Linked DNA regions of Canis lupus familiaris. The protein of the gene in region 2 interacts with the protein of the main gene of each other region in a pairwise test. Links are inferred from orthologs where the notes say so. Each region holds a gene or a part of one and is shown on either strand. Other genes may lie near its edges. The genes, in order: CCHCR1, TRIM54, TTC23, NGLY1, MYO5B, TBC1D22B and LNX1.

Region 1 (3,500 bases), on a different chromosome or scaffold from region 2:
GGTACATAGGGTAACTCTTCAAGAGATCTTTGGTGGGTAAGTACCATCCCTTGTGTAAGGAGCCAGGAGTTGGTGGGGGGACGAACAGGGAGAGAGAGTCAAGTGAGAGGGTGTGTCAAGTGACCTGTCCCTTCAGCTGCGCCACACATCCTCTGTGCTCCAGCTCTTGGGCCTTCAGCTGCACCATGAGGGCAAACACCTTCTCCCGCCAGCGCTTCAGCAGGGCCTGGCACTTCCTGCTGAACTCGGGCTCCAGGGAGTCTGCAGGCTGGACCTGCGTTGGAGGAAGGGCCAGAAGTGCGCCCAGGCTTTGTTTTTTTGTTTTCTTTGTCCCACCCAAGCCACAAGAGCCACAGCAAGAAGAGGGCTTCACTGAAGAGAAGGTCCCAGAAGGTTCTGGCAGCACGGCAACTCTTCCCACCCTCGGGGAGTTGCTGGAGGCAAGGGGCCTACCTTCCTGGTCAGCTCCTCCTCCTGCATGGCAAGAATGTGCATGAGGCTCTGCACACGCACCTGCAGCAGCTCCGCCGTGGTGTGCAGGCCATCCCGGTCCTCCCGCAAGTGCTGCAGGAGGAAGTGCAAAGGAGGGAGCGGCTGCTCTGCAGGCCCTCAAGCCTGATGCCACCCCTTGTCAGCAACTGCTTTCAGGGGCCACCCGTCTCCCAGGATCTGATCCCTGAGCCTTCTCACCCCACCTCCAGCCCACACAGAGGCGCACTCTCTCACTTTCACTGTTTCTAGAAGCTCCTGTCGCTCCGATTCCCAGGTCTGGCTGTGGACCTCAGGAGGGACTTGCTCCCCCACATATCTCCTTAAATTCTCAACCAAGGTCACTTGTGCCTCTAAGTCTTCTTCGGTCTTGCTGGGGTTGGGATGGGAACCGGGCAGCCATCAGTGAGGCACCCTGGAGACCCGCCACATCCACCCGCCTGCCGGATCCCATTTGCTGCCCACCCCCACTTTACCTCAGCTGCTTCTGTAGCAACTCGGCCTCTCTCTGGGCCACAGCCAGCTCCTTGGCTTCCCCTGCCCTCCTAGTTTCCAGACTATTCAGAGATTTCTCCAAGCCCTCAGCTTTGCTGGTCAAACTGGAAAGAGCCTCCTGGTGTGCCTGTGTCAAGGACAAGAGCTGTGGAGAGAAGAGAGGGCACAGAGGGGCCAGCTCACTCCCACATCTGGACTTTCTGAATCCACTCCCGCTCAGACCCTGTCCTTGCAATCCCACCTTCCATAACCTTAGAAAACAACGTGGCAAAATGGAGACAGTCCCTGGTGCCCCACTGTCCTCCGTCCACCTGCCATTCTGTCAGCGGTCCCTGCCAGGTCTCTCTCCACTAAATGTATCTTCACTTCTGTCTCCAACCTTAGCAAGCCACCCTCCTCTCTGGCCTGCACAATACCAACAAACTCCTGACCAGTCTTCAGAAGCCTTCTGGGGCAGGGGCCGCATGCGTGGCTCAGTTGGTTAAGCGTCAGACTTTGACTCGGGTCATGATATTGGGGCTAGAGACAGGCCCCGTGCTCAGTGGGGAGTCTCCTTGTCCCACTCTGTATTCCCCTCCCCCCATTCATTCTCTATCAAATAGATGAAAAAAATTTTTTTAAGATTATTTATTTATTTAAATCTTTATTTATTTATTTTTTAAACTTTTATTTATTTATGATAGTCACACACAGAGAGAGATAGAGAGAGAGAGAGAGGCAGAGACACAGGCAGAGGGAGAAGCAGGCTCCATGCACTGGGAGCCCGACGTGGGACTTGATCCCGGGGCTCCAGGATCACACCCTGGGCCAAAGGCAGGCGCTAAACCGCTGCGCCACCCAGGGATCCCCTAAGATTATTTATTTATTCACAAGACACACAGAGAGAGGCAGAGACACAGACAGTGTCTATTTAAAAATTTTTCATCAGGGCACCTGGGTGGCTCCGCGGTTGAGCAGCTGCCTTTGGCTCAGTCCCGGGATCGAGTCCCACATCAGGCTCCCTTGCATGGAGCCTGCTTCTCCCTCTGCCTGTGTCTGCCTCTCTGTGTCTCTCATGAATAAATAAAATCTTAAAATAACAAAAACAGAGCTCACTGCTCTCAAGGTAAAGTACAAAGTTCTGAACAGGCCCCAAGGACTCCCCGTGCGTACACCATCCAGGGCACCCCCCCTCTTCTACACTCATACCCCTTGACCCTCTGGCCTCCTTATGCCCCACAGGCTGCCAAGTGTCGCCAGCTCACCAGCCAACTCCTATTCAGCTCAAATGACAACTTATCAAGATGCATCTTTCATAAACCTAAAGGCCATTTTTTTTTTTAAACTACCTGCTGTGTCCATTTTCTGGCTAGATTGCTACCTTTCCCTTATCAACTTCTAGGCACAGAGTATATGTTAGGGATATTAGCCTTTTTCACGATATGAACTGTAAATATTTTTTATCATCTGTTCTTTAATTTTACTTTGTCATTTTTACTGTGTCATTGTGTTTGTTCAGGACTATTTTCCCGGTACATAGGGTAACTCTTCAAGAGATCTTTGGTGGGTAAGTACCATCCGTTGTGTAAGGAGGCAGGAGTTGGGGGGGGATGAACAGGGAGAGAGTCAAGTGAGAGGGTGTGTCAAGTGACCTGTCCCTTCAGCTGCGCCACACATCCTTAATTTTAAAATTATAAAGCCAATGTATCCATCTTTCCTTTAATGACTGGATTTTAACTCATAGGTAGAAAAGCCTTCACCAATCTGTTATAAAGGAATTCACCAGGGGTACCAGACTGGCTCAGTCAGTAGATAGAGCATGCAACTCCTGATCTCAGGGTCATTTTGGGTGTAGAGATTACTTAAAAAAAGAAAATCTTTAAAAAAAAAAAAAAAGGAATTCACCCATGTTTTCTTCCAGTATCTTTATGGTTTCACTTCTTAACATGTCAACTGGTTAGGATGGTCTCCCCTAATGCCCTTGTCCACATTAGGGCTTCCTGTCCTTCTCCTTCCTGGCATTTCTCCCAATTGCAATTAATTAATTAGGATTACATAAGGTGTTGAATGTGCAAGTCCCCCAGTTGGGTGTCAGCTCCACCCACAAGGACTCAGGCTGATTTGCCCACCCCAGAGTCCCCACACAGATCTCAGATGGCAAAAGGTAGCACTGAGAAATGCTTGCTGAATGAGTCCTCTCCTTTCCCCAGTCCACCTCAGGAGACCTCTCCCACCCTCCTCACCACCCTTACAATGCTCCCACATGAAGTGGGTATCCTGAGTGAAGCAGGAACACAAAGTACTTCCTACTGAACAAAGACCAAAACACCCAAATTCGTCTTTCACCTTCCCCAGACATCTTATTACTCCACTGGTCATGGGGACTTTTCTGTGAAACTTGCTCTTTGCTAGGAAGCTTCTGGCCAGTTCCTCCAGCAGGAACTGAACCCTTCTCACCCCCATATTCACCTGCTCCTGGTGCAGCCTCTTAATCTCTTCCAGTTCCCGCTGGCTCCCTTCTTCCAGGTTCTTTCGGA
Region 2 (3,500 bases):
GTGGGGCCACCTCACAGTCCTTGTGGGCACCGAAGACCTTACAGAGAGAGCAGGTGGGCACTTCACAGCTCAGGCAGTAGATATTGATCTTCTCCTCTTCGTGCTCCTCACACATGAGGTGCTGCTCGGCCTTGGAGTGCAGTGGCCTGGAGGGGAGCGGGCAGGGTGGCAGAAGGGTCAAGGGTCAGTGGCCAGGCTGGAGAGAGGTGGGTCCTACGATTGTGGGGCCCCAGGAATACCTTCTCTTCAGCCTTTGCCAGCTACCAGTCACAGCTGGGGCTGGGGCTGGGGCTGAGCAGGTGAGTGACTTCCATAGTGCTCTTCATTAGAGGAATACAAAGAGCTAGATTCGAGAACAGCCTCTATTCCAGGGGGCAAGGAAGTCTCACAGGGCAGGACGTCACAGAGGGCTGGCAAGGACTTTGCTGGTGGACCACCAGCCACTCCCCAGCTGGAGAGGGTGCAAGGGAAGCATGACCAGGATCAGAGACCCCTGAGCTGGGTGACCTGGGGCAAGTCCTTCCCCCTCCTAGGGTCCGGCACTCTTATCTCTAAACTAAAGAAACAGGCTGGTCATTTCAGCCCTTCCCTTTTGGCTGATGAGTTCCCCCTCTGTGTCCCAGGCCCTGCTCCTTAGAGAGACAAGAGGTCCCAACAGCTCACCGGGAAGACTCCTGCTTGTAAATGTCAATAATGTTCTCTACTAGCAGGTTTCGCTGCAGGCCATACACACCATGTCTGTCCAGGACAACCTCATGCCTGCAAGATGGGCAGCGGAAACGGCCTCCTGAAGACACAGTGGTGGAGCCCCGGGATTGCCACAGAGGGTTCGAGGCCTATAGAGACAAGTAGCATGAGAGAACAGGCAGTGAGGCAGGCATGAGGGAACAGGGAGGAGGCAGGAGGAAAGGTCAGGAAAGGGCTGAGGTGCAGGAGAATGGTGGAAGAGGAGACATCAGCTCTTTCCAATGGCGGGGCCTTCCTCCTCTGAGAGCAGCTCAGATGGGTAGCCATGGAGATCTTATTTCCCACTGTTGCCTCATTACTTCTTAAGTATCCCTGCACCCAGAGCCTAACTTTGGTAAAGGCCCAGTCAGGATGGAATCTCTTCAAAAAGGCCCAGCTTGCACATGTGGGGAGACACTGATGTTGACAGGAAGGCCAAGATTGGAAATGGATTCTGTGGTGCAGGCGATGTCCTCCTGAGGCTCTCTTGGACCACATCTGGGGGAGATTCTCTGGAGCCGTTGGCAGGGAAGTTGAAACAAATGCTGAACAATGGGGCACACAAGCCATGTCATGCTGGGTAATTCTAGGAAACTATTTTAGAGACTGAGTCAGGACTGCTGCCCCTAACACTGTTCTACTGTGTAAATTTGAGCAAGCATTCAATCTCTGTAAAATTAAGGACTAGATTGAATTATTTATTCTACAACAAATATTAAGCATGCCAGGTAATTGTGAAGCCCTGGGGATAAGATATAAACAAACACATCCCTGCCCTAAAGGCAAGCAAACCCAGCAAACCGACAACTACATCCAGCAAGCTGGGTATTATGTATGATAAGAGTGAGCTCAGGGACCCCTGGGTGGCGCAGCGGTTTGGCGCCTGCCTTCGGCCCAGGGCGCAATCCTGGAGACCTGGGATGGAATCCCACGTCGGGCTCCCGGTGCATGGAGCCTGCTTCTCCCTCTGCCTATGTCTTTGCCTCTCTCTCTCTCTCTCTCTCTCTCTCTCTCTGTGACTATCATAAATAAATAAAAATTAAAAAAAAAAAAAAAGAGTGAGCTCAGAAGGAAGATTTACAAGAGATGGTCATCACTTACACCTCTAAGAGAACTTGCTCCATCCCATCCTAAAAGCAAGAACCCTGCCACGGTCCAGGCCACAGATGATTGGCTCAGAGTTGAGAAAGTGATCACCTGATCCAAGCAGAACCAATCAAATTTGCTCTCCAGAATTTGGAATTGAAACTGGGAAGTGGCGGTGGCTAGACCACTTGCAGCTTTGAAACTGAAAAGACCTGTGGAGTTAGGCAAAAAGTTGACTGTGGCCACCTGTAGTCTTGTGCAAGTGGAAGTGGAAAGTGGGAGAGGTCAGAAAGTGTGAACAGAAAAGCTGGTCTTCAGAGAAGACAAAAGAGTCCACTATGGACAGCAGCAGAGATAAGAGACTGGCAGAGACTTCTTGTTCTTCCATATTCACCTTGTCCTCAATAATAGAGCCTCTGAATTTTTTAACCAAGACACATGGAATAAAGGCTGTGTGTGCAAGCCTCCCTTCCAGCTGAGTGTGACCAGGCGACTGCATTCTGGGATGTAGATAGCAATGTTTTGTGCCATTTCTAGGAAGTGTCTATAATGGGAGGGGCACCGCCTACTCTTTTCTCCTTCCTGCTGGCTGGAATGAAGATGGAATGGCTCAAGTTGAAGCAGCCATGTTGAGCCAGGAGGTAGTCACATGATGACAATGGCAACAAGATAAAAGAAGTGAGTCTCTGATGAAGCAGTCCTGGAGTGCCTACCTATATTTCTGCTTGAGAGAAGAAACACATTTTTAGCTTCCTTAAGCCAGTGCTATTTTGGGTTTTCTGTCATTTACTGGAGGACCTAGTCTTGACTGGCTGGAAGACCATGGACTCAGAGAGAGTAATGAAGAAAATAGTCACCTATGACTTTGAAAATTTAGATGTATTTCCTGTGGGTGAGTTTGATGAAATTCTCCAAATCCTTATACTGGTTATCAGCCAGAGGGCCCCTTATGTGTGTGTGACAGCACCCAGAATACATAGAGGGCATCCAAGTCCACGGTCTTGTTTGAACCTTTAAAAGCAAGAGATGTAGACAAGGCAGGAAATGTGGCTCCTGTGAAGTGCGCAAACCTGTCTTGGCAAGAGTGACTGGCATGCCACAAATGTCACATTTTGGGGGGATTTCTTGTAAATTATAAGAAGTTAACACTTCAGGCCATCATAAAGCCAAATGGTTTAATTTGAGATTATCCAAGGTTGTGTCTGTGCCTTTGTCCTTCTCCATAGCTAGAATTGTATCAATACTGCTGAGTTTAGTTTAGGGAATGGGTTAAAGTGTAAGAACACCTGGCTTTTGCTTAATACAATTAGCTTTCATTATTTATAATACAAGTGAGTAAGGATGTGTTGGGAGAACCCTAACCCTGGAGGGATCTTACTTCTCTTTGATTAGCTGGTGGCTAGCATCTGAAGGTGCTCAGTGAATGTTTGAATGGCTGGAAAGGGGGCAATATTCTAAAGTCTTAGGGCAGAGCACAAACTTCTGAGTAGTGTCTTTCACCTATTTTCCTCCCACACTGTCTCCCCCCTTTCTCCATACTCATTATTTAACATTTGACACATGTTTTGAGGGCCTATTATGTATTGAGCACCACGCTATGGGCTTCCCAGGCATCACTGAATTTAACCCTCAAGAATTTCTTGTAAATATGGTGGAGAAAATGAACATTTACTCCCTCACTTGGACTA
Region 3 (4,091 bases), on a different chromosome or scaffold from region 2:
GTTTTCATAAATAAAGCTTTATTGGAACACAGCCCTTTTAATCCATCTACATCTTATCTATGGCCACTTTTGTACTACAACAGCAGAAGTGAGTATTTGTGATAGAAACCGTATCGCTCTCAAAGCCTAAAGTATTTATTATCTGGCCCTTTACAGAAAAAGTTTACTGACCCCTAAAACACAGTAATGTCATGGACAGAAGTAACAAGATAAATGAGAATTATCCTTTTGATAAGATAATCAATTTGGTCTCAGCCAGATTGAATTTGAGGCTATGGGAGAAAATTTCTATAAGAATGTCCAACTCAAAAAAAAAAATTAAAAAAAAAAATGAATGTCCAATTCAAAAAAAAAAAAAAAAAAGAAGAAGAATGTCCAACTCAGAAGTTAGAAATATATTGGGCCACCTGGCTGGCTCAGTCAGTAAAGCATGTGACACTTGATTCAGGGTCATGAATTCAAGCCCCATGTTGGGTATAGAGCTTACTTTAAAAAATTTTTAGAAGAAAAAAGAAGCTAAAAATATATCACTAGTCCTGAGAGACATCTTTTTAAAGATAATATTTTTCCTTTCCTTTTAAAAAAAATTAGTAACCTTCTATGCCTTTATACAAATAGAATTTGAGATGTCTAGAGGTTAAGTGTTGAGCAGTTAACCTGGACCTACCTACCAAGGTAAAGGTGGCCACCCCTTAATAATCCAAAATAGAGCTTTACATTTTCACCAAGAAGGAAGAAAGTCAGAACTTTTCTTTCTTTCATGAGACAATATAGAATGAAAACATGAGAAAGGGAAGAAATTGGTTGAAGGCCAGTCTGAGAAAACTTCAGAGGCCAATCAATCCCAGCAAAACCATTCTTGGGTAGCCCTTCAAAACGTGGAAGGCTCATCTTTTGATTCAACATTTAAGCTTTCCCTAAACCCTGCTGTACAGAGACTCCGTGCTATCTCTGATGCCAAAATGGTGGCTGACTTTTTTTCTAACAAGCTCTTGACTTAAGCTTTCTCATCTATTCAGCCCACTAGTTGATGATTTGATCATTTCAGTAAGTGTTATGGTCTACAAAAAGAGCAGGAGATTGGGTTTGGGAATCTGAGATTCAAAAATCTGTGCTGGTCCAACTACTCACATGATTTGGGCAATATCAACTGGTATTTACATAACCCTTTATGCTTTCCCATATTTTATCTTTTGTGGCCCTTGCCATAGCCATGTGGGAGACAGGTATGATTATCTCTGTTTTATAACTGAGGACAATGAAGCTGACAGAAGCTAAATTACTTGCCCCATGTCACACAGGCAGAATCAGGACTCCAGTCGTCTAAGAATTTGGTGGTTTCCTACCACATCATTCTGACTTTCATTGACCAGTCTTTAGGAGTGGGAAGCAAATATTCTTGCTTTGGAAACCTAAGATGGCATTTTAAAAAGTAATCATACACTTTTATAACAAGGAAATGTAACATCTTCAACAAATCTAACCACACTTTCTTATCTTCTACTTAGGGGAGGCAGAGAAGAAATTTTAGAAGCTATGTGAGTAATATGCTCTGTAATATTTGCTACTCTGGGCCTTGAACCTAGTGCTAAACTTTGAAATTGAGCGGATTTTTCTTTCTTTTTTCGGCTTAACTGTAACAAGTGGTTTGTCTCACATTGCCTCTTAAAATATTAAATCCTTAAAAGAGCCATTTTAATCCAAGCACTCACAGGCTGGATCTAACTTGCACATGCTTTTTTTTTTTTTCTTTTTGGCCAGAAAGGGGAAAAAAAAAATTAAGCCATTACTTTAAAATTAGAAGGTTTAGGATCTGGCTTTTGAGATTTTTGGCTTCCTATAAAAACAACACTATCGGGCAGCCCGGGTGGCTCAGCGGTTTAGCGCCACCTTCAACCCAGGGCCTGATCCTGGAGACCCAGGATCGAGTCCCATGTCGGGCTCCCTGCGTGGAGCCTGCTTCTCTCTCTGCTTGTGTCTCTGCCTCTCTCTCTCTCTCTCTCTGTGACTATCATAAATAAATAAAAATTGAAAAAAAATATTAAAAAAAAATACTGAGCCTATGTCATCACAGGCAACAATCCATCAGGGGGGAATGGCAGAAGCCGTGGCGATTGCCAGTTGCCACCACTCCCTATTGCTCCTGGACAGGGAGGCACCAAAGTAGTTGCCATTTGTCATTGCTCCTGTGTTGCTTTATCCTTATAGTAAAAGAATAGGTCTCTGTAACCATACCTCTCTTTCAGAGTGAAAGGCTGACATAAAGGGATATGGCTTTCCTAGCCCATGCCACTTGCCACTCGTTTCCTAAATGTAATCTGATCTGAGCCATCACTGATATAAGATTATCAGATACATCACTATCCTATAACCACTAAGAATAAAACCACAAAGCTATTAAACTATGACTTGCCATCAACGGTAACATGCATTCCAATTTCAGAGATGTTTAAACACCAAAATGTGCATCTCTGCCAATTAAATGAGGCACGGTACCTGCCTGGCTTTTGGAAACATGTGAATCTATGACCTTGCTTTAAATATGTGTCTGTGTCAATGTGTGTTGCATCTTATAGTAACATCTTTAGCACAGACATCCTCTTCAGTTCACTTACTTGGAGCTACATGCTTATCATCAGTCACTTTTGTTTTCTTTGTAATAGCCATAGGTGGGGCTTAAATTTTCATTAGAAATCAGCCCAGGGCCACACAGTACCCTCTCCCTGCCAGCCTTGGGTAAAGCTTCCCAGGCCTCTCAATCGGCTCCCACAACTGCCAGTCAGACATATCCAATCAATTGATGCTATTCCTTCTGCCAGACCTGTTCAGTAGAATGCTGAAGCACATGATCAGCCTCAGAACAAAATGGGAGGAGGAAGAGGTCTGAAGTGGGGTCTCAGTCTTCCATTTCAAGAGGTGATGTTCAACAATTTAAAACTGGTTTAGCAGGAGGACCAACCAATCTGTATAGATGGCAACTATGCTGGAACTAGGTTCAGAAGGTCCCCTGCTGTTACAGGTGTTAACCCTTGGGGGCTGACTTGGGGGAGGATGTAGGAAGCTTGAGGGCGGGGCAGGAGCCCCCAGGGCAGTGGCTCCTGGGAAACAACAACCATTATGACCGTATGAGAGTGTACTGGTTAAAAAGCAACCTTGCCCATAGGTAAGCTGTGGCATCAGCAAGCTATGAAGTGGAAAAACATTCTGGAAGGATACAAAACATCAAAACCGAATTGAAAGGAAATAAAAAATCTGAATAGAACTATAACAAGCAAATAATTTAGTAATTTAAAATATTTACATAAAGGTAAGCCCAGGCCAAGATGGCTTCAGTGGTAAATCCTACTAAACCTTTAAAGAAGTAATATGAATCTTTGCAAACTCTATCAGAAAAATAGTTTGCAACTCTATTCTGTGAGGCCAATATTATCCTGCTACCAAAGCCAGACAAAGACGTAATAAGAAAACAAACCAATATCCATGATGCTTTTGAACACAAAAAGTCCTCAACAAAATATTAGAAAAATCAAATCAGGCAAGATATAAAGAAGATTATATATTATGACCAAGGGGGATTTATCCCTGGAATAAATAAATAAAGCTGGTTGGTTTAACATCTGAAATCACTAATGTAATACACCATATTCATAGAATAGGGGGCAAAAACTGAATGATCATATTAATAAATGCAGAAAAAAAATGGCAGGATACTTCCTTCATCTGATAAAGGGCCAATAAAAACTTTTTAAAAACTTAATGCTAACATCACACTTAATGGTGAATGTTTGACTGCTTCTCTTTTTAGACTGGAAACAAGGCAAGGATGTTTGCTGTCATCATTTGTATTTAAGACTTAATGGGTATTCTAACCAGTGCACTAAAGCAAGAAAAAAGTAAAAGGCATGCAGATTAGAAAGGAAGAAAAAAAAATTTAGTTTACATGATCTTCACACACACACACAATTCAGTTGACATGATCTTCACACACACACACACACCCCAAAACAAAATGAAAACAACAACAAAATCCTACTAAAACTGTTAAACAATTTCAGCAAGGCCAGAGGACACAAAATAAACCAAAACTGAAT
Region 4 (3,005 bases), on a different chromosome or scaffold from region 2:
CGCTTCAATTATCAAACTGTTATATTCTTAGTAACTTCCACCTATAAAAACACTGAATTAAAATTAGTATATTGTGAGAAAAATATGACATGAATTTTCAATATCAATAGTCTATTTTGTTTCCATATACTGTTTCTTTAGCCTGAGAGACCTTTTATTTTCTTACAATGTTTTGAATGTTTATTTAAGCATTTAAGAATTCAGTGATGAATTCTATCCTATCCTTTAACTTTTTAGAGTCTTAAAGCTGATGCCTTTAGGACTGAAAAATGTAAATTTTAGAAGAAGCAATTCTCTCAGACGTGTTCAGCAGCTATTATAAACCTATGACGGTTAAAACCACAGTTGTGGCCTGGACCCATGTGGTATAATTAAGACAACTCTGAGGGTAAGCTAGGAATTTGAAACTAACCTGACTTCAATCTGTCATATTTTATGCCCACACTTTTTGGGGGAGGGGATCATTTGAAACTACTGAGTTCTAAAAAGACAACAAGGCATGAAAAAGTATATACTGAGACATAAATCTGAATGTGTTGGTCTTTGGACTACTTTTCCCCAGTCTTTTAGTTTCTTCCAACCACCTTTCTTCCAATAACCTACTGTTCAGCTCATCTTTTCCAGTTAATCCCCTATACTAGCCATGTCTTTGAAGTAGTAATTAGGTTATAGATAATCCCCAGATTTGCCAGTAGTTTGGGATAGATGGAACCAATGACTCCCAGGGAGCATTGGTGGAATTCTCAGCCCCAGGTTCTCCTTACCCACAGGTGTAAGAGGAGCACTGCAGTAGGAACAGGTAGGTATTAGAGGAGGTTATAGTGAGGTCGTCCTAAACTTAAGTGGAGCAATCAACACCATATATCTAGGTATGCCCTCTAGTGCAATTGTTGATTATACATACGTAGTCTGAAGAGATCAAATAGTTTTCCTTGGGGAGTGATTGTTTTTAGTTGATAACCTCCAGCTCACTGATTCTAAAAAACTTTCCAATTCAATTAGCTGACATATTTAACCTGGAAGAAAAACTATAGGTTGTGAAATAGAATATCAATAGACTGCTAGCAGTGATTGATTTTTTTTTTTTACTTGATGACTAAAAACAAGTAGTAGGACATTTCCATGACATATGTGTTATATGGTACTTTTGTTGCTCTCAACAAGTAAGTTTGATGTTTCTGGAGGAATATATGTATATGCAGACTTTTAATACTTAAATACTATTTATTAAATCCATGTGAATCCAGAACTGGTGACCCCAGAAAAGTTAAGATTTGGTTAAGATCATACTAAGTACACCTGAAATAAAATAGTTACATTTGGGTAAAGAATTATTGGCAGTTCAAGGTGGAGTGAAATTCTGGAGGACTGTTAAAGATGAGAGTTTAGATTTCAACCCAGTTACTTGCTATACATTCTAGACCATGCAAATGACAGGAACAAAGTGGGCTTTCAAAAACATTAATTAGGCAGTTGGTGAAAGATGAGCATGGAGTCATGACTGTAGTGGTAAGTGCAGTATAAATGAGGAAAGGGTTTTTTTGAGACTTACTTCAAAGAAATGCATGAGTTGTTTTGTGAGTTTGAGCATCTGGGATAACTGATTAAAGAGTCAGATTCTTGGGGGTTTGAGCCTGGGTGAATGGAGTTACTTGTGAAAGGCCAAGGCTGTGGATGTCAGCGTTCACGTCCACATCTTCAAGAATGTGGATGAAACTGAGAGAAGATGAGCTGGAAGTAGCCAGTAAACTTGGATGCCTTAAATAGTATACATTAAAAGTGGTAAGGGTGACTAATAATGAAGGAATGGGAGCATATTATTTAGAGAGGCAAGCATGAATACTATATTTTAAACTACTAGTTAACGATGACTTATTTTCTTAACTTAGAATATATAGCCCATCTCGCTCTAGGAAATCTTATCTAAAAATCCAGATTTAGAAAAGAAGATAAAGAATAATTGTATTTAAAAGGATTCTTCATTTTCACCAGGATTCATCCTAAAGGTCATATGAGATAGCTGGACTTAACTAATTTAAAAGAAAATTTGATTTACCAAAATTTGGTTAGCATGCCCCCCTTAGGGCTATACTTACCAGTGCACCTGTATCCAAGTATTTTTCTTCCAAACCAAAATATACTATAGGAAAAATTGCTGATGAAATGCAAAATGTTCACAGTGAAAATCTTCTCAGTGAGGAAGAAATTAGATTTTTAATAATTTGTATATAGTACCCTACAACAGTAAGACTTTGACTATATGTGTTTTCTGCATTATTTTATTATTTATAACAATTCTTTGTTCCCCTCCTCCTTTGTAGGTATATTTAGCACGAAGGGAAGGATCATCTTATGCTTATATTTCCTGGAAGTTCAAGTGTGCATCAGTTGGCCTAAAAGTAGATAATGTTTCCATTAGAACAAGTAGTCAAACCTTTCAGACTGGAACAATACAGTGGAAATTGCGATCTGAAACAGCCCAAGTAGAACTATTGGGCGGTAAGCATTTGACTAGAGAATTAATCGTGACGTGTATTTAACACTCTGAAGAATAATTGTACTTGAGTTGCTCATACCCAAGATTCATTCATAGTACTGCAAGTAAAAAAAAAGAAAAGAAAAAAATTAAAACTTGTATAACCTTATTCTAATAAAACCACTTCTGTTTTTTATTGTGAAATACAAATGGATAAAGAAAAACCATTTCTTTTGTTTCGAAGGACATATTTCCTCCATAAGGGATAATTTGTATTTATCTTTTTAAGGGTTGATTTTACCTACAGGTTAGGTATATAATATGTATTCCAAAACTATTTCTTTATATTCTTTAAGTTACCAAAAGCAAAGTATTAATTATTTTTTTTCCTCCAACAGATAAAACTCTTCGCTCATATCATGATTTTTCTGGTGCCACTGAAGTTATTTTGGAAGCAGAATTAAGCAGAGGAGATGGTGTTGTTGCTTGGCAACACACCCAGCTGTTTAGACAAAGCTTAAATGACCAT
Region 5 (3,500 bases), on a different chromosome or scaffold from region 2:
AAAAACAAAAACAAAAAAAACGAAATTTTTGGTAGTGTCGCCAGCCACTGAAATGGGCAGCTGAAGGCGACTCCAAATCTGACCACACAGATCTTCAGAGGCTTCGTGACCGACCTCTGCTACCTTTTCCTTCTGCTCTTAATTCAAGGCCAACATCTTATATGGCAAAACTTCTTCAACCTTTGGCGTGACTTTTGACTCTCCTCCTAAACAGTGCCATCGCCAGCATGTGAGCAGTTCCAATTCTCCCTCTGCATGTGTGTCTCAGAGATTCAACACCAAGTAAGACTTTCTGAACTTGTACGCCGGTTCATGTAAAATCCATGGTGAGAGAGAGAGCGCAGTGGCTTCTCTTCTGTCAGCAGACTCTTCCTCCACTTCCAGTAGCTGACTGTGGCTGAGTCCTAACTGGATCTGTCCAGTCAGCGCCCCACCACGCTCTTGATCCCCGTGCTGCTCAATCTCTGCCTGCTTTCTTCTGTGGTCTGTGTGTCACTGCTCTTCCTCCCCTGCCTTTAGACAAACCACCTTCCCACTGACCACCATCCTTCCCTTGGCCTTCAGCCTCTGTTCTCTACGTATACACAATGCTAAAAAGTTCATGTATTCTTTGACGTAGCCGACTTTCTCAATCTCTGGATCGCTACACTGAAATGCGGTAAGGCACCCTGAACAAAATCCCAAGCACACATCAGAGGGGACTAGCTTCTCATACCCCATATGTTCTCAAGAATCTTGAGTTTTTTTTTTTTTTTTTGATAAACCTTCATTTTAATTCCCCTTTTCCTGACTCCTCTGATTGCTTTCGCCTGTTTTCATATGTTGCTACCACACACTTTGCTGGCTAAAGAGGCTTAGATGTTTGAGAAAGTGTCATATCTCCTCAAGATGTTCCCTACATCTAGCAACAGGAGGGATGATCACCATTGGACCATTTTATGAGTCAGCTTGAGGTGATTCATTATGCAGGTGCTGTCAGCTTCAGTCACACACAAAGTCAGGTATTCAGGCCTAATCACCTAAGGCTGGGCTTTAGGAAGCTCATCTTTAAAAAAAAAAAAAAAAATCCTATCATCTCAAGACAGATTTAAATAATCATTTCCCTAATATATTTTCTTTCAAGCATATTCCTAAGGGCAAAACTATACATCTTAGAGACAAGATTGAAGAGCTCAAACTGTTTTCTTAAAATAATATTTCTTTAGTTCCTGGGTGGGGTTGATACTCTGCTTACTTTGTTAATTCCACTTGGTGCTATAATTCAATAACATGCTAGTGGCAGATAATACTTAGACTATGTCTAAAATCTGAGCAGAGTGATAAAGTTCAGTCTTTTGTGTACATATGTAAGTGATTTATGGGTAGTATTTACTAAGGGAAAGCCTGAGAACCTGAGGTCTTCTGGCATATAACATAACCAGCTTTATTTATTTTATTTTTTTTTAAGATTTTATTTATTTATTCATAGACACAGAGGGAGAGAGGCAGAGACACAGGGAGAGGGAGAAGCAGGCTCCATGCAGGGAGCCGGATGTGGGACTCAATCCCGGGTCTCCAGGATCACACCCCAGGCTGCAGGCGGTGCCAAACCGCTGCGCCACTAGGGCTGCCCCATAACCAGCTTTATTTACAAAGAGAAGCAAAGTTTATAAAATTGATACTAGTTTTGGACCAGGATTTTATAGAATTCATTAATATTCTAAAACTCACCTGGATTGTTCGTATAAAGGCCACAGTTACCCGTTCTTCAAATTCATTCACTGGAGTATAAAGGTTTAAAATTTTGACAATCTGTTGGAATACAAACAAAAGCTTAGCAGAGAGCTAAACGAACATAAGACAATGTTTGGATTTCAAAGAATATAGGACATTGGCAGAAGAACTCAATCTTCTTTAGGCAGGACCCACACCCTGAAGCTGGAATGATACTGAGAAGAGGAGTCTACAGTCCGTAAACTACAGACCAGGGGCTTTGGTAGATCTGAGCCCTCCTGTTGCATTCCTGTCTCCTACATCCCTACCTGCCCTAATGGCTCCTGGCTTATAATATAATGATTCTAGGAAACTGTTGCCTGAAACCCTCAGCCTCTTATCTACCAGTAATTCAAAGATCTCTTAAAGAGCACTGGAGATCTTACCTTAGATAACAAGAGGTTGTTTGACCATGACCCCACCTCCCATGACCCCAAAATCACTTATAAAAGGAACAATTTTTCCTAATTGAACAAGAGAATCATCTCCTATCTGCCTACAATCGTTTGGTGGGAGTAGCCTGTCCCAATGCAAAACAATACCAGTTGAACTCTGGAAGTAAACTGAAAGCAAAATAAGGGGGATACAAATTGAAAACTTTCAGCACATTTATAGGAAGCAGCTTTCTTAAGAGTCTGGCATTTCATCTTTTAGTGGTGAGCGGGGAGGTAAGGAAAGGGGTATGTTTGCGAGACTGAGACTGGATTTCATGCTGTAAGGCTGGACAGGGAGAAGAAGGTGCATGAGTTAATGTAGAAACTCTCCTTTCCTTATGCTAGTTGCATTTTGTGAGGTCACTCCACAGTGGCTCATTTCTAAATACACACACTCCTGATGGAGGGCAGGTCTCTCTGCGAGGGGATAAGATTTATCTTTTGATAGACTGGTAACATCTCTGCAACTGAGTCCTAGTCTAAATACAATTTGGCCAGGGGACGGCAGGGAGGAAAGGCACATTTAAACGCTTCTAGGTTCTTAATGACTGTTTAAAATTATGTTAATGGATTCTAAGTGAAAACAGGGCCATAACGAGTATATAGTGGTAAAGAAAGTGATTTATTTAACTCCAAAAGCATGATGCTGCCCATTTCTGAACAAAATCTAAAATTTCTAGTGAGAAACATTCCAAAATTCATTGTGTTTAAAAAAATGCTTTTACCCTAACCAACCAACCAGGGGTGACTGGAGATCCATGGCTCAGTGGGCGAAGCGCCTGACTCTTGCTTTTGGCTCAGGTCATGAGATGGAGCCCCGTGTTGGCTTTGCACTGGGGACGGGGCCTGTTTCAGACTCTCTGCCTCCCCCACTCCCCCCTAACCATTTGCACATGTGCTCTTTCTAAAAACAAAAACAAAAATACATTTTTATCCAAGCTTAATGTTTTGTGGGTTTGCTACCTTATCTCTCTATGAGAGCAAGAGGGCCTGGAAAGTTAGTTATGGGGGGGACGGTGGCATCTCGTTCCCCAGACCAAGGCAGTCTTTGGTTCGCAGAGAACATCCCATCTGCGACAGCTTCTGTTGTGTCATTAGGGGCACAGAAAGGCCGCAGGAGCACCATGGACACACACACAAGCTGCCAGGGGGAACAGCCTAGGAAAGGAAGGCGGGCTGTGGGGTGCCAGGGCCACATACCTGCTGGGTACTGAGCGAGGTGCACAGGGAGCAGATGGCCTCCGCATCCTCTGGGGTTTTCTTCTTTAACTGCAGGAGTTGAGCTGCTTGGATCAGAGGCTCCAGAGTCTGGAC
Region 6 (3,770 bases), on a different chromosome or scaffold from region 2:
GTCTCCATCCCAGGACCCTGAGATCATGACCTGAGCTGAAGTCAGACACTTGACTGAATGAATGAACCACCCAGGTGCCTGGTAAATTCCTCTGTCGTGTAAGCCACGATTATTTTTTGGTTTGTGCTGCATGTTGCTGAATGTAATCCTAATATAGATCCTGATTACTGAAACTAAGCAACACTCTCAAAGGAGTCATAGGAAGAAGTTCTGGGTGAAGAAACCATTCAAGTGTTTATCACAGGGCTTGCTTGGCACGTGGCAAGGTACTCTATAAATGTCAGTGGTTAGGTCCCATGTTCATTTTTGTATTTTCTGCAGGATCCATCACAGAGTAGATGCTCAGTCCTCTGTGACTGCCTGGTGATTTTCTGTTGATCTCCTGCTTGCCCCACAGAGGACTTGTCCCCTAACCCTTACTAATACCAGCAAGAAAAACCCGAGGAATGGGGACCCCTTTGGTTCCAGGTTATACAAATCCATGGGTGAAAAATCAGCAGTGGAGGAGGAAATACACTATTTATTTACAATTCTTTCACTTTATCCACAATTTCCATACAAACATAAAAACTAAAAAAATAAAACCACCACTTGGGAACACAGGTGTCTTTCTTTAATTAGTCCGGTTGATGGAGGGCCACAGCCCTCTCACTCTGTGAAGGAGACCATTGAGGCACACTGAGGGGGAAGAGGAGACGGTTAGGAAGAATGCCTGAGAAACAGCTCCAGATGAGAATGTAACATGCCAGCGTGGTGGAGCTTCACTGGCAAAGACTCAAAGGTATCACCCACCCGGGGACACTGACCGGCTTCTCCAGAGAATGACGGCTGCTTGCCACCATACCCCCACTGCCCCTCCACTACGGAACTCCAGAAATCAAACAGGCGCCACCCATCTCATGAGCTGGGTGGGGTATGAGGGTGACAGTGGGGGACCCTGGATGCCTCTCACTGAGAAGAGCCCCAAACCCCAGGGAGACACAGAAAACCCCTCTCGTTGGCACGGATGAGTCAGTCACAGCTTCTGTCTTGAATATGATGCTGACTTAAAACGGAAAGACAAAGGCTCTCCCCCAGCCTCCTGGGGAAAGGGAAGGGCTGAAAACATGCAGGAGGGCTTCTGCCTCTGGAGCCACCTCTCTGGGAGGCGGCTGGGCTCCAGTGAGAGGTGGGGGGGCTCTGTCCACCCCTCACGGGGAAGGAGTGGGGCAGATGCTCCACAAAGAGCTGGGGAGGGAAGAGAGGAACACTCTGAGACACTGATGCTCGGGACAGCCGCCACCGACTCGCCACCGACTCTCGAAGCAGCTCCATCTGCTCGGTGGCCTGCGCTTGGCAGACTCCCACTTTTCCCCTCACCGGAGGGCACCCAGAAACCAACCTGGAGCTGCCAAACGCACCTGCCTGGCAACTTCCTCTGTGCTCGTGACCTAGATTGCTTTCACATGTTGATGCACATTATAAATATAAAATCATATCTGCTACAAAGAGGACATATATTTGTACATCTTTACCCATATACATAATAACACAATTTACACATAATATCTTGGAGTGGGTCATCATGGAAAAAGGGTTTGTAGAGGTATAAGGCCCCTTCCCCCCTCCCCTGCCCTGATCCTTCTCAAGGGACGCCTGTATACTTGGTCACCGGGGCCCTTCCCAGCTGTTTGTCATGGGGCTGGTCTGGATACGTGTAACTAAATGCTGATGGGTGTGTACACCCACATATACACACAGACGCAGGCACACACAGACATCTGGTGAGAAAAGGAAAAAGAAAATTCCTAGCCCTTGGGTGCAGGCCTCTTCCCAGAGTTAGAAGCATCGGTACCTCCATCTGAGGACAACAGTCTGAAGCTGCCCCTCACTGGCTCAGACAAGGGCAGAAGGGGAAGGGCTAGGATGGGAGGGGGCGGGGGCAGGAGTCTTGAAAACATAAGGCGTTTTTTGACCTGTGATCAAATCAAACTATGTCACAAAAAGCAACGGCATCAGTCAGGGGCCAGGAGGCGAGAGACAGTCAGCCCATGTAGGGACAAATCCCTGAGCCTTCCCCTTCTTTTGTCCAGTTTCTTTTAAAGGGGCAGACAACCCTGTACCTCCTTTCCTGTCTTCTCCCAGAGCTGGGCCCATCCACATGTCATGGAATACTGAGAGTGGTCCAAGAAACACATCCAGAGACGTGGAGTGGTGGACAGGCACGCCAGAGTTAAGACCTGGGCGGCGGATGTGAGCTTTTTACAGCAGGAGTGGTTCCTGGCCGGAGTCCACGGCTCGCACAGTGGCCACAGTGATCAGATTGCCATCAGAGATGGGGACAGTCTGGGTCCCCCTGAGGAGACAGCACCTATCGGCGGTAGTGATTAGGGGCATCAGCGAACATGTACTTTAGTCTGTACGCCTCAGCGAGAAGCAGCCCAATCTCTTCGTTGCCCCAGTGTATCGTAGGTAGGTTTTGTAGCAGCATCAGGAGACCCTGGAAGGCCAGAAAAGAAGCTTTTTATCATGCCGGTACTATAGACCAAGGGATCAGCAGGCCCTGGAAGGGGGGTCCCTTCCTTCTGGATCACACATCCCATAGGGTCAGCTCCCTCCTCCCAAGCGGCACTCAGCCCCCAACTCCCAGTTCACCTTCAGGAAGCTCTGAAAAGCCTCTGTTGATTCTCTCGTATCCACTAACACCTGCCTCTTTTAAAAATACTATAAACAGAGAACGACACCAACAAATAAAGGTATCTAAAAAGAGAAAAAAAATCACGCATCATCCAACTACACCTCTCTTTATTTTCAAGTTTTTCTTTTCAGCCTTTTTCTCACACACCTATTTCCTTAAATAGCTGTGATAATAGTTAGGATTTTTATATGCTTTTTAATCATCTCCTTTTACTATAACTTTAGTGTTTTTCCATGCAGCCTTCAAAAAATGACTATTGTCAGTGTTAGTATCCCATCATGTGGCTATACTCTAATTTACTCAACCATTTACCTTTTGTTAGATATTTGTTTCCTTAAAAAAAAACTTTATTCAAAAAAACCCCTTTATTCATATTCATAAATGTGTATCCTTTTGCATTTGCTACATTCCTCCCAATCCCAGGGTTCACTTCTAATTGTATTTATTTAGCCTCTGCCCTATTCTCCAGAGACCGCCTCAATCTACCTGTCCAGTTTATTTTCTAATGCCCATGCCTCCTCCAGCTAGGTCCATTTCAGCCGGGTTGATTTGTGCATCCATGGTTTTAATTTATGTTGTTCCTTTAACTTGGGAGACTTTCTCTTTTCTCCTCTACCTATCTCAATCCTATTCTGTTCTCAAAGCCCAGGTCCCTCAAACAGCTCCAGAGAGACAGCCTGTTAAAGAGGATATTAGAATAAAAAGAGAATGAGAGGTTGTCTCTATAATTTAGGTCACTACACTGCTGCTGCTGCTACTCAGTGTTCTTTATCCATTCCCTGCCTTTTTAAAAAAGTCTATTTACTTATTTATTTTTAAGTAATCTCTACACCCAACATGGGGCTTGAACCCACAGCCCTGAGGTCAAGAGTCATGTTATAAATAGCAAGACAAAACCCAGAGACATAAGGAGACAGGCAGACTTGATTACATATAACTTCAATATGTCAAGAGGTGCCGAAGGGTGGCGCAGCGGTTTGGCGCCCGCCTTTGGCCCAGGGCGCGATCCTGGAGACCCGGGATCGAATCCCACGTCGGGCTCCCGGTGCATGGAGCCTGCTTCTCCCTCTTCCTCTGCCTGTGTCTCTGCCTC
Region 7 (3,500 bases), on a different chromosome or scaffold from region 2:
TTGTGCCTCATTAATTATCTGCAGGGCTGATGCCCCATGGGGCTTTCTGGTTTTAATTACTCTGGCTAAGCAGGCCCAGCCGGAAGGCTCAGCCCCTAGCGGGAGTCACTGCTTTGCAAGAAAACCATCTCGCAGCAGCCCCACACTCTGCGCAGGGTCTGCAGGACCGGGGCCCCACAGGAGAGAGACAGCCTTCTTGAACTTCTGTGGTTGGGTCGGATTTCTTGTACTTGCAGCCAATTGATAGAGGAGGCTCAGAGTGAGATTTTAAGAGGTCTTCCTGCAGGACACAATCATCATTTTTTTTTTTTTCTGCCTCTCCAGGGATGGATGAAGGCTCGCGTGCACAGACAAGCCTCACCACTTGTATCCAAGCACAGGTGAGCTTAAAGCCCTTGCTCCGCTCTGTCATGTATCCTGTGTCTCGTTTCCCCCATCACACCCAGGCCGGGGTCATCTGCAGGACAGTCCTGGCAGCCCTTGGCCTGCAAGGGCCACCTGAAGGCCCTAAGAATCAGAATGTCTTATGTGACCCTCCCGGGCAGAACAACTCCCTCCCTCTGGAGGGAAGCCACGTAGAGTCCACTGACTGCACTGTGGACTGTCTCTAGAGGTTGACGGGCCCGGCCTTGTGCTTTACCCCAGAGACCAGGGGGAGGTTTGATCGCTGCTTTAAATGCTTTCTTATTCCAAATAATAATAATAATAATAATAATAATAATAATAATAATAATTTTTTTTTTGGCAGAGAAATAGCTCACGCTGTATCAGGAGCTGGCCCCTGAACGGGATGAAACTCTTCTCTGGGTATCAGACAGGGAGTCTACAGCCAGGGAGGGATTCCTTGTCACTCTCGCCGCACGTCCGACCTCTGTGTGATGAACAACTCTCCCTTTGTCCTTTCTGCTCAAGAGTCTTCCCTAGCATCCTTCCTCTCACCCAAGCCCCTGAGCACAGCAAGGCCCAGGGTGTGTTGTTCCACCTCCTGCCCGCCCTGGAAGGTCAGTGCCTTGGTGGGAATAGCTTAGCCTCACCTTTTGGGTTTTCTCATGGAGGGCCATTAAGCTACAGGAAGTTTCCCACAAGGGGGGTGTGTGAAAGGGAGTGACCAGATCCAAGATGACATGTTCCATTAACCTGCTCTAAAAACAATACGAGAAGACAAATAGATGCTCCAGTTTCATATTCTTTTATGTTATGGTTACTTCAAGTGGGAGGAGGGGTTGGGAAGGAGACAGGAAGAGAAGGAGGTAGAGAAAGGGAAGCAGGGACAGGAGCTGGAGGGGAGACGAGGAAGGAGGGGAAGACAGAGACAGAAATACTCTTACCCAGAAAGAGGCAGAGGCTATAAGGACAAGACAGAAGGGGCAAAGACCTATCTCCATTAAATGACAACTCTCAGGGAAAGAGCCCTATCGGCGTGACAACCCTAGAAAGTGACCGCTTCCCATCCATCTGGCATTTCCTCCATCCATCCGCTGACTTGCTCCGAAGGGATTTTAGCAAGCCCCCTCTTCCCGGCCCCACCACGACTGCGGCCTACCTTCAGGATGATGTCTCCTGGCAGCAGCCGGCCGTCCCTGGCAATCACCCCGTCGCGGTAAATGTGCTGGATGATGATGTGGACCAGTGGGGTTTCGCTGCCTCCCACGAGCCTAATGGAGAGGCTTTCGTTGGGATCCACTCGATTGATCTTGACGCTTGTAATTTCACCATCTGGAATCAGGTGATACAACCTTGGAAAGACTAAAATGGACAAAGACAGTATTTATTTAAGACACCCACCCGGCAGACATTTCCAAGCCCTCCTCTTCTTGCCAAACCTTGGTGTCAGCCAAACTAAACTATTCATCGTTCCTCATACATGTTTTCCATTTTCCTGCCTCCTTGCCAGCATCGGTTTCTCTGCCTGGAATGTTTTTCATTCTAGGCCTAGACCCAATTTTTCCTTCAAGACTCGCATGAAATGATCCCTTTCAATTAAGCTCTACCTTGGTCCCTCTTGCCCTGCTCTGTCCAAACATCCCATTCCGCCCCCCACCCCCCACCCCAAAAGCTTGTATTTCTCCCCAGCACTGAGCCCTCTGTTGTCATTCATGCTCATTTCATTCATCCTCCCCCGGGACCCTAAGATCTCTGAGGACACTGTTTGCAGCTGTCCTGTGGCTGTGTGTACAGATCACGAGCGCAGGCCAGAGCCTCCTGAGGGTGGAGGGGTGCATGAGGACGAAGGGTCACTAAGGGAGAGACCACAGGCTCAGCGCCTCCCTGTCGAGGGACAGAACAGACCAAACCAGCTTTTCTGCTTTCTCAGGCCATTTTGAAGATTTCTCCCCGGCAGTCCCTGCTCTTCAGGCTCAGGGCACTCCCAGGCCTCCCTCCCAGACATTGCTGTCAATAAAGGGAAGTCAGCCAGCCCGATCCCTGACCAAGGAGAGGTGGTGGCATCTGGAGGCTCATCCCTGCTCTGGCGGGATTGCTGAACTCAGAGCTAACAGGAGATGCAGAGAGCTCAGACTTTACCTTTGAATGGAAGACTCTTCTTTCCCCATGAAATCCTTCCCGGGTCCCTTCAACACCAGCCTCCACCGCACCCCACCCCAACCCGACCCCACCACTGGGCCCACATGCAGAAGAGCTTCCTTAGTCGTCTGGTTTAACAGCAACAGACACCATAGTGCGGCTTTATTCTGCATGTGAGGGCGTTTGAGCTGAGAGTGGGGAAGTGACCTGGTCTGCTGGAGGCTGCAATGTAAGGTGGCCGTCAGAGCCAGTCACACCCTAGGGCTCCAGGTGACCTGCCGTCCTGTCACCTCCCTGGGGTTTTGGAACAACCAGGGATTCACAAGGGTCCCACGGGGGACTCGCCGGAGAGACCCATAAGCCAGCACTGTCTGCACAGAAGTGTGCAGAAGGGGCACCGTGGGATGCCAGGCAGGCTGCACCTGGTTTGGTGGCGCCGGCGGCTCCTCCCTGGTTGCTGAGTTTGGATGCGGTGGGCGGGATGCTTTTGTCTCCTCTAGCTGCCGACAGCTGCCTCTGCCCTAAGATTCTCTCTTCATTAAGTCAGCTGGGAAGGGGGGAAACAGCAGGTCTGGCTCTGCATAATGAGCCCTGTTTTCAAAACCCATGACCTTAGTCCATTTTCCCTAATGAACTATGAGTTCATTAAGAAGTGCTCAACTCTCCAGGAACAATACAGAAAGAATTAAAATGACTTCAAAGTACCGTAGGACATGATCAACAAAGCAATTTAGCAGCCAGAGGAAGCCTGAGACGTTGCAAATGCGCGTCCTTAACCTCCGCTGGGATGTAATTTAATGTAAGATTGGCTTTGCTGGCAGGCTGTGGGCAGCGGCCTTAATCCGTCAGTTCCTGGTGCTAACAGTACTTGGGTGATTGCTTTCAATTAATGTTTAAACTACTTTGATTACATTAAGTAGGCGTTACCATAAGCATTTGTTGGAACAGGTCTGGTGACAGGCAATGGCGATTTAAAA

What was found.
Region 1: the proteins of TRIM54 (region 2) and CCHCR1 interact in binary tests that used the Homo sapiens proteins (3 or more experiments, as listed by UniProt). The link is inferred for Canis lupus familiaris from reciprocal best matches to the Homo sapiens genes TRIM54 and CCHCR1.
Region 3: the proteins of TRIM54 (region 2) and TTC23 interact in binary tests that used the Homo sapiens proteins (3 or more experiments, as listed by UniProt). The two-hybrid records come from large-scale screens. The link is inferred for Canis lupus familiaris from reciprocal best matches to the Homo sapiens genes TRIM54 and TTC23.
Region 4: the proteins of TRIM54 (region 2) and NGLY1 interact in binary tests that used the Homo sapiens proteins (3 or more experiments, as listed by UniProt). The two-hybrid records come from large-scale screens. The link is inferred for Canis lupus familiaris from reciprocal best matches to the Homo sapiens genes TRIM54 and NGLY1.
Region 5: the proteins of TRIM54 (region 2) and MYO5B interact in binary tests that used the Homo sapiens proteins (3 or more experiments, as listed by UniProt). The two-hybrid records come from large-scale screens. The link is inferred for Canis lupus familiaris from reciprocal best matches to the Homo sapiens genes TRIM54 and MYO5B.
Region 6: the proteins of TRIM54 (region 2) and TBC1D22B interact in binary tests that used the Homo sapiens proteins (3 or more experiments, as listed by UniProt). The link is inferred for Canis lupus familiaris from reciprocal best matches to the Homo sapiens genes TRIM54 and TBC1D22B.
Region 7: the proteins of TRIM54 (region 2) and LNX1 interact in binary tests that used the Homo sapiens proteins (3 or more experiments, as listed by UniProt). The link is inferred for Canis lupus familiaris from reciprocal best matches to the Homo sapiens genes TRIM54 and LNX1.

The regions. Positions count from the first base shown.
Region 1 is NC_049233.1:987,770-991,269, forward strand, and holds part of CCHCR1 (coiled-coil alpha-helical rod protein 1), read right to left. Parts: coding exon 3,433-3,500; intron 1,130-3,432; coding exon 966-1,129; intron 863-965; coding exon 727-862; intron 565-726; coding exon 454-564; intron 275-453; coding exon 125-274; intron 1-124. UniProt on the Homo sapiens protein: May be a regulator of keratinocyte proliferation or differentiation.
Region 2 is NC_049238.1:21,336,859-21,340,358, reverse strand, and holds part of TRIM54 (tripartite motif-containing protein 54), read right to left. Parts: intron 837-3,500; coding exon 664-836; intron 147-663; coding exon 1-146. UniProt on the Homo sapiens protein: May bind and stabilize microtubules during myotubes formation.
Region 3 is NC_049224.1:41,888,863-41,892,953, reverse strand, and holds the start of TTC23 (tetratricopeptide repeat protein 23), read right to left. Parts: upstream 2,801-4,091; 5' UTR 2,668-2,800; coding exon 2,616-2,667; intron 1,524-2,615; exon of another isoform or gene 1,509-1,523; intron 1-1,508. UniProt on the Homo sapiens protein: Participates positively in the ciliary Hedgehog (Hh) signaling.
Region 4 is NC_049244.1:18,435,003-18,438,007, forward strand, and holds part of NGLY1 (peptide-N(4)-(N-acetyl-beta-glucosaminyl)asparagine amidase), read left to right. Parts: intron 1-2,321; coding exon 2,322-2,499; intron 2,500-2,874; coding exon 2,875-3,005. UniProt on the Homo sapiens protein: Specifically deglycosylates the denatured form of N-linked glycoproteins in the cytoplasm and assists their proteasome-mediated degradation. Cleaves the beta-aspartyl-glucosamine (GlcNAc) of the glycan and the amide side chain of Asn, converting Asn to Asp.
Region 5 is NC_049228.1:79,088,776-79,092,275, reverse strand, and holds part of MYO5B (unconventional myosin-Vb), read right to left. Parts: coding exon 3,387-3,500; intron 1,792-3,386; coding exon 1,711-1,791; intron 1-1,710. UniProt on the Homo sapiens protein: May be involved in vesicular trafficking via its association with the CART complex. The CART complex is necessary for efficient transferrin receptor recycling but not for EGFR degradation.
Region 6 is NC_049233.1:6,546,618-6,550,387, reverse strand, and holds the end of TBC1D22B (TBC1 domain family member 22B), read right to left. Parts: intron 2,480-3,770; coding exon 2,351-2,479; 3' UTR 501-2,350; downstream 1-500. UniProt on the Homo sapiens protein: May act as a GTPase-activating protein for Rab family protein(s).
Region 7 is NC_049234.1:46,800,672-46,804,171, forward strand, and holds part of LNX1 (E3 ubiquitin-protein ligase LNX), read right to left. Parts: intron 1,747-3,500; coding exon 1,544-1,746; intron 1-1,543.